Saccharomyces cerevisiae S288C: one gene and its partners. The protein of the gene in region 3 interacts with the protein of the main gene of each other region in a biochemical or structural test. Each region holds a gene or a part of one and is shown on either strand. Other genes may lie near its edges. The genes, in order: UFD2, CDC48 and OTU1.

What was found.
Region 1: the proteins of OTU1 (region 3) and UFD2 form a complex in vitro, tested with the Saccharomyces cerevisiae proteins (one study listed by BioGRID).
Region 2: the proteins of OTU1 (region 3) and CDC48 form a complex in vitro, tested with the Saccharomyces cerevisiae proteins (3 studies listed by BioGRID).

What each region holds. Positions count from the first base shown.
Region 1 is NC_001136.10:119,933-123,690, forward strand, and holds the start of UFD2 (ubiquitin-ubiquitin ligase UFD2), read right to left. Parts: upstream 1,661-3,758; coding exon 1-1,660. Other genes in the region: RBS1 (Rbs1p), read left to right, coding at 2,284-3,657. UniProt on the Saccharomyces cerevisiae protein: E4 ubiquitin chain-elongation enzyme specifically involved in polyubiquitin chain assembly.
Region 2 is NC_001136.10:236,995-240,752, forward strand, and holds the start of CDC48 (AAA family ATPase CDC48), read right to left. Parts: upstream 1,671-3,758; coding exon 1-1,670. Other genes in the region: HNT1 (adenosine 5'-monophosphoramidase), read right to left, coding at 2,025-2,404, 2,516-2,612; YDL124W (aldo-keto reductase superfamily protein), read left to right, coding at 3,265-3,758. UniProt on the Saccharomyces cerevisiae protein: ATP-dependent chaperone which probably uses the energy provided by ATP hydrolysis to generate mechanical force to unfold substrate proteins, disassemble protein complexes, and disaggregate protein aggregates.
Region 3 is NC_001138.5:44,054-47,582, reverse strand, and holds OTU1 (ubiquitin-specific protease OTU1), read left to right. Parts: upstream 1-2,022; coding exon 2,023-2,928; downstream 2,929-3,529. Other genes in the region: LAM5 (Lam5p), read left to right, coding at 1-1,863; phosphomannomutase SEC53, read left to right, coding at 3,191-3,529. UniProt on the Saccharomyces cerevisiae protein: Hydrolase that can remove conjugated ubiquitin from proteins and may therefore play an important regulatory role at the level of protein turnover by preventing degradation.

The DNA of each region.
Region 1 (3,758 bases), on a different chromosome or scaffold from region 3:
GTGGATTTCTGAAGATTGGAGAGGTCTGGTACTTCGAAATGTATAGAGAATAGTTAACTGGACCTTCTACAACAAATTCTGGATAGTATTTAAAAGGCACTGGAGCATGCGCTCTCAAAAAATCAGCGTTGTCCACGTTTTCAACACCTATTTGGTCCGGAATTAATGGCAATTTAATTTGTTTAAACGGAAATTCGTGTTCAGGATCCACAACACGAATCAAGAACGTAGATGCACCACAAATAAAGTCGAAAACCTCTAGTTGAAGAGATCTATGAGCGAAGAACCCTTGAAGAGCAAATCGCAAAGATTCTGTTGTTTTCAACGCCTTCTCCATCTTGGATAATTGTGCTGTAATGAATCTGGCAAAGACATCGTGGTTCGCAGCTATTTTCTTTACTTTTTCAATTTCTTCCTTTAACGCTTTGATTTCAGATCCCATCTTCTCTTCAAATGATAATGTACCTCCCAGACCATAATGCAAATAGGTTAATGTCAAGAAAAAGCAATCAGAGATGAAGTTTGGCTTAGAATCTGCTGTTTTTCTGTTCTTGTCATAAAATGCATCTGCCTCTTTAAAATCAGAATTTAATCGTGTTTCCCCTGATAAATCAATAAATAAACTTGGGTTGTTGAAGTAATTTGCGTCGATCTTGTCGATTTTCTTATATGAAATATCTAGAAATGGTTGAGAAAATCTAACCAATAACAAAGTGATATTGGACATAAATCCGTTAGAGGATAGTTCTTTGAATGGTGGATGATCGGCTCTACGTAAATGGTTTTTATTAGCGATATGGGCAAAATAACTAATCATATCAGTCCTTGAGTTTAAGGAGCCACGAACAAGCTTATCGACAATAAAAAAGAGTCTATCTATGACAACTTTATGCTCAGCTTGTAGAGATTCATGGATCATGGCTGTCTGTTGTTTGGAACGCAAAAGGTTATCGCCGTAGTTCCGGATTGCCACAGCAGCTTCTATGGGAGAAAGAGATAAAATAGGCCCCAATATCGTTTTCCTTTCAAAATCCTGTGGTTTACAGCTATAGTCTGCAAAAAAACCATCTATTTTAGTGAATATTTCTGCAATAGGTTTAAATGTAACAAATAACTCAAAAATGGTAAGAACGTTATTGTAAATTACAGATTCGTTCAAATCAAAATGGCTGACATGTTTATTACAGTATTCTAATAATGTCGGGAAAACAGCGTTAAGTAAATCCAAAGCGGTACCTTCTAATATGGCTCTTTGAATGATTTGGGAAAGGAAATCAGTATATGAGTTAACGTTAGAAACAATTCCAGTGATATAATTGATGAAAGCACCATTCATGCAAAAGTTTTCTATTTGTAAGGCAACGACACCATAGCCAATGACAAGACGATCAATCTCTTGGAAAGTGGAATGTAATGACTCAGCATTTGGCTTGTTTTTGGTGATTCTTTTTTGTTGCTGATTACGGCGAAAGCAATCGTTCAAATATTCAAACGGTTTATCCAACTTCTCATTCTCGGTGAGTTGATATAATAGTAGCGTATCAATAAAATCAACTCCAAGAGTTGAGCCTTGAGGCACTTCCTCGGACTTCAATAGAGAGTAGCCACGGGTATCGGAAGGATCGGTGGTGATTTGTAAAATATCTTCTATGGCGGTCATGATCTATGGAATGAGGGTTCTACTTTCAAAGTTAACTTTTCCCCTTAAACAACTTGTGGTCAACTTTACCTTTCTATTGGCTGACACAATTCTCAAAGATATAATTAACGTTTACTGTGGCAACAGCAAGTGGTTGAGTCTAAAAATGTGAATAAAATGGCAATTACTTAATGATTAACAATGATTGCGGCGTACACCTCTATTATTTTGTTGCCAATGGTTAGAATCTACCTTTGATCTTCAATTCACCTTTTGTAATAAAGACAGACTATCGCCTCTGACGAATACTGACAAAATAGCGTCCTCGACGAAAGGATGAATCGTTAAGCGCAAAATAATATTGATATAATAAGAATATCGATTAAGAAGCGTTGGCTAGTGTCATATGCGGGTTAGCCTATCTGTTTCTTCTTTCTTTCACATACAACTCGACAAGTTTTGGCGTAGGCAATTGAGCCATATTGTACCAGCAAGCCGTGGTGACAGTATGTTGAAACGTGCATCTTATAATGGGCGCACGATTTATTTTATTTTAATTAATTTTTTAGTTATTTCGTATCGTACTAACAACTAAGATATTCAAGTCTCTTCAAGTATATAAGGAGTTAGGGCAGAAGTAGGTGATGACAGCACTAGATTCTCGAAACTGGGGATTGACACCCGCTATGGAAACGGGCTTGTTCCAGAAACCACAGGACCGTATCTTTATAATAGAGCTGGAAAATTCCATAGTGTCATTCATAAACTCAAACACAGAATCATTTCAGCTAAGACCGATGAATTCATATTATAGGCTTCTATCGCACCAAATAGCTGAGTACCACAACTTGAACCATGTTTTGGCAAGAACTCAAGATAGTTGTGTGATTCTTTTCAAAGGTGAGAATTTCCAAAAGATTGAAGGAAAGCCACTCTTACAAGAGTTGCAGCTGAACAAAAAACCGGAAGAGTGTGCTTCCTCAAGTGAGAGTATTGAAAAATCGAACAATAACAGAATATTTCGAATCTTAAAGCGGAAAGAGGTAGGTAACGAGTGCGATTATAAAATCGATGGCAATACACGTACACCAAATAGCAATTTGACAGCCAATTCAAATAAGGACCAAAAAATCGAAATCGATGATAAATCTAGTACTGATTTGGAACAAGAAAGAATTGAGAAGGAAAGACTTTATGAACAACGTAAACAAGAAATTTTTGATAAGCTCAACAAGAGTGAAGACGATGTAAAGTCAACCAACAGTAGCGGTAGTAGTGATAGTGACAATGAATGGAGTGATTGGTTGAACGGAGATGACTCTAACACACAAACTAGTAACGGTTCAGTTAGCTCTTCATCACCATTCAATTCATCTGTGACGACGATACAAGTAAACAAACCTCAACAACAATTTTATGATAGTCGAAGAGGAAGAGGAGGAAGAAGAAGAGGAACAAACAATTACAAAGATGCCTATAGAGGCCAAAGTCGTCGGAATAAAGAAAACGGCGGTTACCAATCGGGATATTCTTCGCCATATCTTGTGTATCCTCCTCCCCAAATGGGTGGCAATAGTCTGCCAACCTACCCTCTAATGTATAACCCCGCTGGTCCTGCCCCCGGTCCTGCACCTTCACCCATGGTAATGGGCAATAACACAGTCTTCATGAACCCTTACATGTACAATATGAATCCCCAAGGGTCCTGTTCGTTTGGCACCCCAATCCCTATGTATCCCCCATACCAATATCAATATCAATACCAATATAACACTCAGTATCACAGCGGGCCATATAGCAATACACCAAGCTATAATTCTAACAATTACACAAGATCCTCAGCAAATAAGTACCACCATTTTCAAGGAAAAAATTCATATTCTGGTGCGATTCCGAAACGTAGTGATGACAGTAACAGTAATAAGAATGAGGGAATTCGTAGGGCTAGTGTTGAGGGTTCGCCGTCATCTAGGGATACTGATTCGGTAGAGATGAAATTTGATAAATTAAACATTTAGCGTGAGGAGTGAACTATACATAGCGAAAAAATTACGTAACGGTTTATAGAAATTCTAGTATGAGAACAGTAATATATGAGAAAAAGTTGTTTTCACTTTGT
Region 2 (3,758 bases), on a different chromosome or scaffold from region 3:
AATTCTGGACCTTTGACTGAGATAAAGTTGGCAGAAACCTCAGTAGCTACAGCTTTTGCTAACAAAGTTTTACCTGTACCTGGTGGACCGTAGAACAACACACCCTTTGATGGTGATAACCCAAACTTTGTGTATTGGTCTGGATGTAAGACTGGGTATTCTACAGTTTCCTTCAATTCCTCCTTGATTTCATCTAGGCCACCAACGTCATCCCAAGTAACATTGACACTTTCAACAACGGTTTCACGCAATGCAGATGGGTTTGAATTGCCCAATGCGAATCTGAAGTTGTCCATGGTGACTCCTAAAGAATCGAGCACCTCTGCATCAATTTCATCTTCATCTAAATCTATCAAGTCCATTTTTTCACGGATCTGTTGCATGGCAGCTTCAGAACACAAAGAGGCAATATCAGCACCCACGTAACCGTGTGTTTCAGCAGCCAATGCTTCCAAATCAACATCATCAGCCAACTTCATGTTCTTGGTGTGAATACGTAGAACTTCAAGTCTACCTGTAGCATCTGGGATACCAATGTCGACTTCACGATCGAATCTACCAAATCTTCTTAAAGCGGGATCAATCGAATTTGGTCTATTGGTAGCAGCAATGACAACAACATTAGATCTTGCCTTCATACCATCCATTAAAGTTAACAATTGAGAGACAACTCTTCTCTCAACTTCACCATTAGTCTTGTCTCTCTTTGGAGCTATAGAATCGATTTCATCGATAAAAATGATGGCTGGAGCGTTCTTTTCGGCTTCTTCAAAGGCCTTTCTTAAGTTAGACTCTGATTCACCAGCCATTTTTGACATGACTTCTGGACCATTAATTAAGAAAAAAAAGGCACCGGTCTCATTAGCAACAGCTCTTGCCATCAAGGTTTTACCAGTACCAGGGGGACCATACATCAAAACACCTCTTGGTGGCTTGATACCGATAGCCTTGAACAACTGAGGATGTCTCAATGGTAGTTCAACCATTTCCCTAATTTGAGCCATTTGCTTACGACAACCACCAATATCATCGTAACCCACCTCATTCATATTATTTTCTTCATCTTCCCTGTTGATTGGCTCACCTTCCCAGTGAATAATAGTATCCTGAGCAACGACGGCATATTCTTCAGGTTCGACATCCACAACCTTGAATTCGACTTGTCTCATACCGCCTCTGACAACAAAATGGTCGCCTTTCCTCACTGGTCTGTAGGCTTCCACAAAATAAGGCTTCAAAAAAACATCGAAAAGATTACCAGTTATACCTTCGATCGTATCAGCAATTGGTAACACAGAAATTCTAGTAGCGTATTTGATATCGGGGCAAGGATGAATTGTAACTAAATCACCCAGCCTAATACGTAAATTGTTACGAACTACACGGTTTATCCTGCATGCTCCGTCTTCTAATTCGTCATCGATCAACACAATTAAGACAGTATCTTTTCTCTTCTTGCCCTTAACGAGAACGGTGTCACCACGGAACAATTCCAATTTGTCCATGGTGTTAGAATTAATAGCAATGACAGAATTGTCATCATTGATAGCATCGTCCACCAAAAGCATGTTGTCCTTCTTCTTTCTTCTTAAAATGGCGGTGGCGGTTTTATCCTCCTCACGAGGGTCGACACCCGAGGCGTCCAAAAGTGGTTTATGTTCTTCACCCATGATTTGTATATCTGTCTTGTAGTTGAGCCAGTTATCGAGTCAATGGCGTTGAGTCAAATCTTAATAGAACTAGATTAATTGACTACATCAACTGCGGATCTCTTAAATACACGGCCCTGATATATGTCCTTTTTTGCCACCGAATTCACATTCGAGGGGTTGCCGGGTAGTGCGCAAAAGGCGGTAGGTTAAAAAGGAAGGAGTTAGAGCTGTTCATAAGGTATCGATAGCAACGATGGCTAGTAACATGATTGTTAGCATTATAGAGTGGATATGAATGGAAGCAAACACACCCATATGTATAAACTTAAATATGAAAAGAAAACGCTAAAAGAAATCATAGCATGCATTACTCTAATCGGAGCCTTCTAGTTTGGCAAGCAATTCCTTGTGTAGCTTGCCCAACTTATCGAAGTCCGTTTCTTGGGCTGGCCACCCTACAATCAAACCACTTTTCTCATCTCTCTTAGGAATCAAATGGAAGTGGACGTGGTCGACTTCTTGATGCGCAATTTTACCATTATTCTGCAACACATTATAAGTGTCCAACTTCATTGCCTTGGCCAGTCTCTTGGCAATCGGCATAGCATCGGTAAGGAATTCGTCCGGGATGTCATGCAACTTCGCACCATGGTACTTAGGAATGATTAAAGCATGACCTTCAGCAGTAGGTTGGATGTCCAAGAAAGCATACGAGTACTTTGTTTCAATCAATTTGAAGGATGGAATTTCGCCTGTTGCATAGCGGATCGATTGTTAGTATTCTGCTTTATGTATATGTACTACATAGAGACTATCGCCATCATTGGTGTGAGTGTAAGCTCTTTATTAGTAATGTGACATACTTTTAATAATCTTGCAAAAAATACAGGCAGCATCAAGCGTAGCAGGAGCAGACATTTTTGTTGTTGTTAGGTACGGTGCCGATATCAATGGCTCCATCAATGTTTCTTAAAAGTCTGGAAGGCGTGCTGATTGTCCTTTTACTTCATAATGTTCTCCGCTTTCCAGTCGAACACACATCACATTACACGATCGTACAGCAATGCTTCAGTAGGGCGGTAACTTCTTCAGAAGAGAACGGACCCGCCATTATTTCTGCAAGGAATATTCTGTAACGATTCGCACCATATCTTAAAGCTTCTCAAGCTTACTGTTTTATGTGACCTCCTTTTGTACTTTTCAAGTTCTGTAGACAAGTGTCAATTCAACCTTTGAGGCTACGTGGCCAACAAGGTCTTGCGCGATTTACCGGTGTTTCCTTTGCGCCCCCTGCTCATGCCATCAAAACGGCACGCTGTTTTGTAGAAGCCTCCATGCGTCTCCTATTTGGGTCCTTGCAAAATAGTCTAACGAAAGCGCGGAGAATTAACCGGAAAAAGGAAGTTGCCACACTCCCCTTACTAATCCACACCTAGGATCTCCTTTACTCGTATTTTGAATATCTACGAAAACACTCACATACGCTCATCCCATATATATATATATATATATACGGATATATTGATAGTCGGATACTACGTGGATATGGATACACATGTAAACGGTTGTGTTACCCTAAAGAAACGGAGGTCAGTTAACAACACTTTTACAGATGTCATTTCACCAACAGTTCTTTACCTTGAATAATGGAAATAAAATCCCCGCAATCGCCATCATTGGGACAGGTACTAGATGGTATAAAAACGAAGAAACGGATGCTACCTTTTCGAACAGTTTGGTCGAACAGATTGTTTATGCTCTGAAGTTACCTGGCATTATTCACATTGATGCTGCTGAGATCTACAGAACATATCCAGAAGTTGGGAAGGCACTTAGCCTCACCGAAAAACCAAGAAATGCAATATTCTTGACAGACAAGTACTCACCTCAAATCAAGATGTCAGATTCCCCAGCGGATGGACTAGATTTAGCTTTGAAGAAGATGGGCACTGACTATGTCGATCTATACCTTTTGCATAGCCCATTTGTTTCCAAAGAGGTCAACGGGTTAAGTTTGGAGGAAGCCTGGAAGGACATGGAGCAATTGTACAAATCAGGTAAAGCTAAAAATATCGGTGTTTCCAACTTTGCTGTGGAAGACTTGCA
Region 3 (3,529 bases):
GACGTACGCAAGAATTTAGTAGTGATTACAAACCAAAGTGCCGCCGATGAACACCCTACAGAGATCAAGCACGATCAATCAAGGACTTCTTCGACGTCCTCGTTCTTCAGTGGAATGATCTCTTCGTTTAAGTCAAACGTGCCATCCCCAGTTTCTAGATCAACTACGCCAACTTCGCCAGTTTCGCAACCAAGCATTATATCACATAGAAGGGAGCCTTCCATGGGGTCCAAAAGAAGATCAAGCCGCCGTATCAGTAATGCCACAATTGCTGAAATAGGCTCTCCCTTGCAACAGGTGGAAAAGCCTGATGAGGTCAAGACAAGACTCACTCCTTCCCAAATGAAAGAAGACAATTACGATCATAGACGATTCGTGGAAGAACGTTACATGGACACACCTTATCACTATGCGTCTGAGCAAAGAAATAAAGACTTTCATGAGACATTCAAGTCCGTTCCTAAAGATGACAGACTACTGGATGATTTTAATTGTGGGCTGAATAGAGAGCTGCTTTACCAGGGGAAACTATACATAACAGAAACGCATCTCTGCTTCAACTCCAATGTTCTTGGTTGGATTGCTAAAGTACTGATTGCGTTCGAAGATGTCACGTTTATGGAAAAAACTTCTGCTGCTGGGTTGTTCCCCAGCGCAATATCCATCGAAACAAAGATGGGCAAAACTCTCTTTAATGGTTTTATATCCAGGGATGCTGCATTTGGATTAATGAAAGAAGTGTGGTCAAGAACCTTGTTGCAGAAGGACATGGCCAGCGAAAACATCAATACTAAAGCAGAAAAGTCAGGAAATGGCAAAGAGATTGATGATGCAATAAACTCCATCGATGAGGAAAACAATGATAAAGACGCTAATGATAATGACACTAATGAAAATGACGATGAAAATATCTCTACAAATGAGACTACCCCCAATAGTACGAGTTCCTCGCCGGATAAAGAAAAAGAGAAAGCGTATAAACTGCGTGCCGATTCCTCGTATCAGTATGATGGTCCAATATATCATCATTCAACAAGCTTTCCGGCTGAACCTATGGCCAATAACGAGTTTGTTCTCAAGGAGTTACCATTCGATTGTGCACCTGGTATACTTTTTGAGATCATGTTCAACTCAGAGCAAAACGAATTTCTTCTAGATTTTTTACGGGGTCAAGAAGGTTCACAAATTACCACTATTCCAAATTTCACGAGCATTGACGGATCTTCCATGACTTTGAAGCGTGAGTATTCATACGAGAAAGCATTGCACTTTCCTGCGGGGCCCAAGTCCACGACATGTTATGTTGCTGAGGTAATAAAGAGAAAAGATCCTGATACTTACTATGAGGTTATCAGTAGCATACGCACTCCGAACGTGCCCAGTGGTGGTAGTTTCTCAACTAAGACAAGGTATCTAATCCGTTGGAATGACGAAATAACGTGTCTGTTACGGGTATCCTTTTGGGTGGAATGGACTGGTTCCAGTTGGATCAAAGGTATGGTTGAAAATGGATGCAAGAATGGTCAATTGGAGGCTGCGCAATTAATGGAGCGTATTCTTTCCAAGTTCATCAAGAACAATGTCGAAGAGTGCCAAATTACTATCAGCAAGGAGGAAGAGGAGCAAGATGATAAAGAAGTAAAAAATAAGTTGAAAGAGGTTGACCTTGAACAACCAAGAGAAGCGGTTGTTACGGCTCCCGCAATTGCAGAGCAGCAAGGTCTCAAGGTCACCATGGAAACATGGTTGTTCTTATACTTGATTGTGGTCGTTTTGCTATTGTTTAATCTGTTCTACATACGTTCAATTGCTGTCTCATTACATCAACTGGTGAAGCTGCAATTGGTAGAACTGAAGTTGTGATCTGTATTTTCTTCGTACCAATATATATCGTTTCTATAGGGCAATGGTAGTAACTAATAGTAAAGGGCGAAATAAGCCGATTTCAGTGGCAAATAACAACTTTTTCCTTTGAAAACAAGATAACATTGAAGAAGATAACCAAGAGAAGAAACTTTCAAGATGAAACTGAAAGTTACTGGAGCAGGAATCAACCAAGTCGTTACTTTGAAGCAAGATGCAACACTAAATGATCTTATTGAGCATATCAATGTAGATGTTAAGACGATGAGGTTTGGATATCCGCCTCAAAGGATCAATTTGCAAGGGGAAGACGCTTCTTTGGGACAAACCCAGCTGGACGAGCTGGGTATTAACTCTGGTGAAAAGATTACAATAGAGTCCTCTGATAGTAACGAAAGCTTCAGTTTGCCACCACCACAACCCAAACCAAAGAGGGTGCTGAAGAGCACTGAGATGTCAATTGGTGGCAGTGGAGAAAACGTCCTATCAGTACATCCTGTTCTCGACGACAACTCGTGTCTGTTCCATGCTATTGCCTATGGCATCTTCAAACAAGATAGCGTTCGTGACCTCAGGGAGATGGTCTCTAAGGAGGTCCTCAACAACCCCGTCAAGTTCAATGACGCCATATTGGACAAACCTAACAAAGATTACGCGCAATGGATTTTGAAAATGGAATCTTGGGGTGGAGCCATCGAGATTGGTATCATATCCGATGCACTCGCAGTAGCTATTTATGTAGTCGACATTGACGCTGTTAAAATCGAAAAGTTCAACGAGGACAAGTTCGACAACTACATTTTGATACTGTTCAACGGAATCCACTATGATTCCTTGACCATGAACGAGTTTAAAACTGTTTTCAACAAGAACCAGCCGGAATCAGATGATGTTCTAACAGCAGCTTTGCAACTGGCCTCAAATTTGAAGCAAACTGGCTATTCCTTCAACACTCATAAGGCCCAGATCAAATGCAACACTTGCCAAATGACCTTTGTGGGTGAAAGAGAAGTTGCTAGGCACGCTGAATCCACGGGACACGTTGATTTTGGCCAAAATAGATAATAAAATACGCATTTGGCGTTTATCGGTATACTCGTCATGAGACACGAAAAGTGGATAAAATGCATTCCTTTTGTCGTTGATGAAAAAAAAATTTGAAATATATTAAAATGTGCCGTTTTTTACGTGTTCTTTTCACTTATTTTTCTGTTTATATCGTCTATTCTTCTTGGCAAAGTATAAGATCTTTGACGAAAACTAAATCGACAATTTCCTTAGTACTTCTTTCTCCTTTTTTACCTATCTGCTAATATAACCACCAATAATGAGTATCGCTGAATTCGCTTACAAGGAAAAACCAGAAACTTTGGTTTTATTCGATGTTGATGGTACCTTGACACCAGCCAGATTAACTGTTTCTGAAGAAGTTAGAAAAACTTTGGCCAAGTTGAGAAACAAGTGCTGCATTGGTTTTGTCGGTGGTTCTGACTTAAGCAAGCAATTAGAACAGTTAGGCCCAAACGTTTTAGATGAATTTGACTATTCTTTCTCTGAAAATGGTTTGACCGCCTACAGATTAGGTAAGGAATTAGCTTCTCAATCCTTCATCAACTGGCTCGGTGAGGAAAAATACAATAAATTGGCCGTCTTCATTTTGAGATAT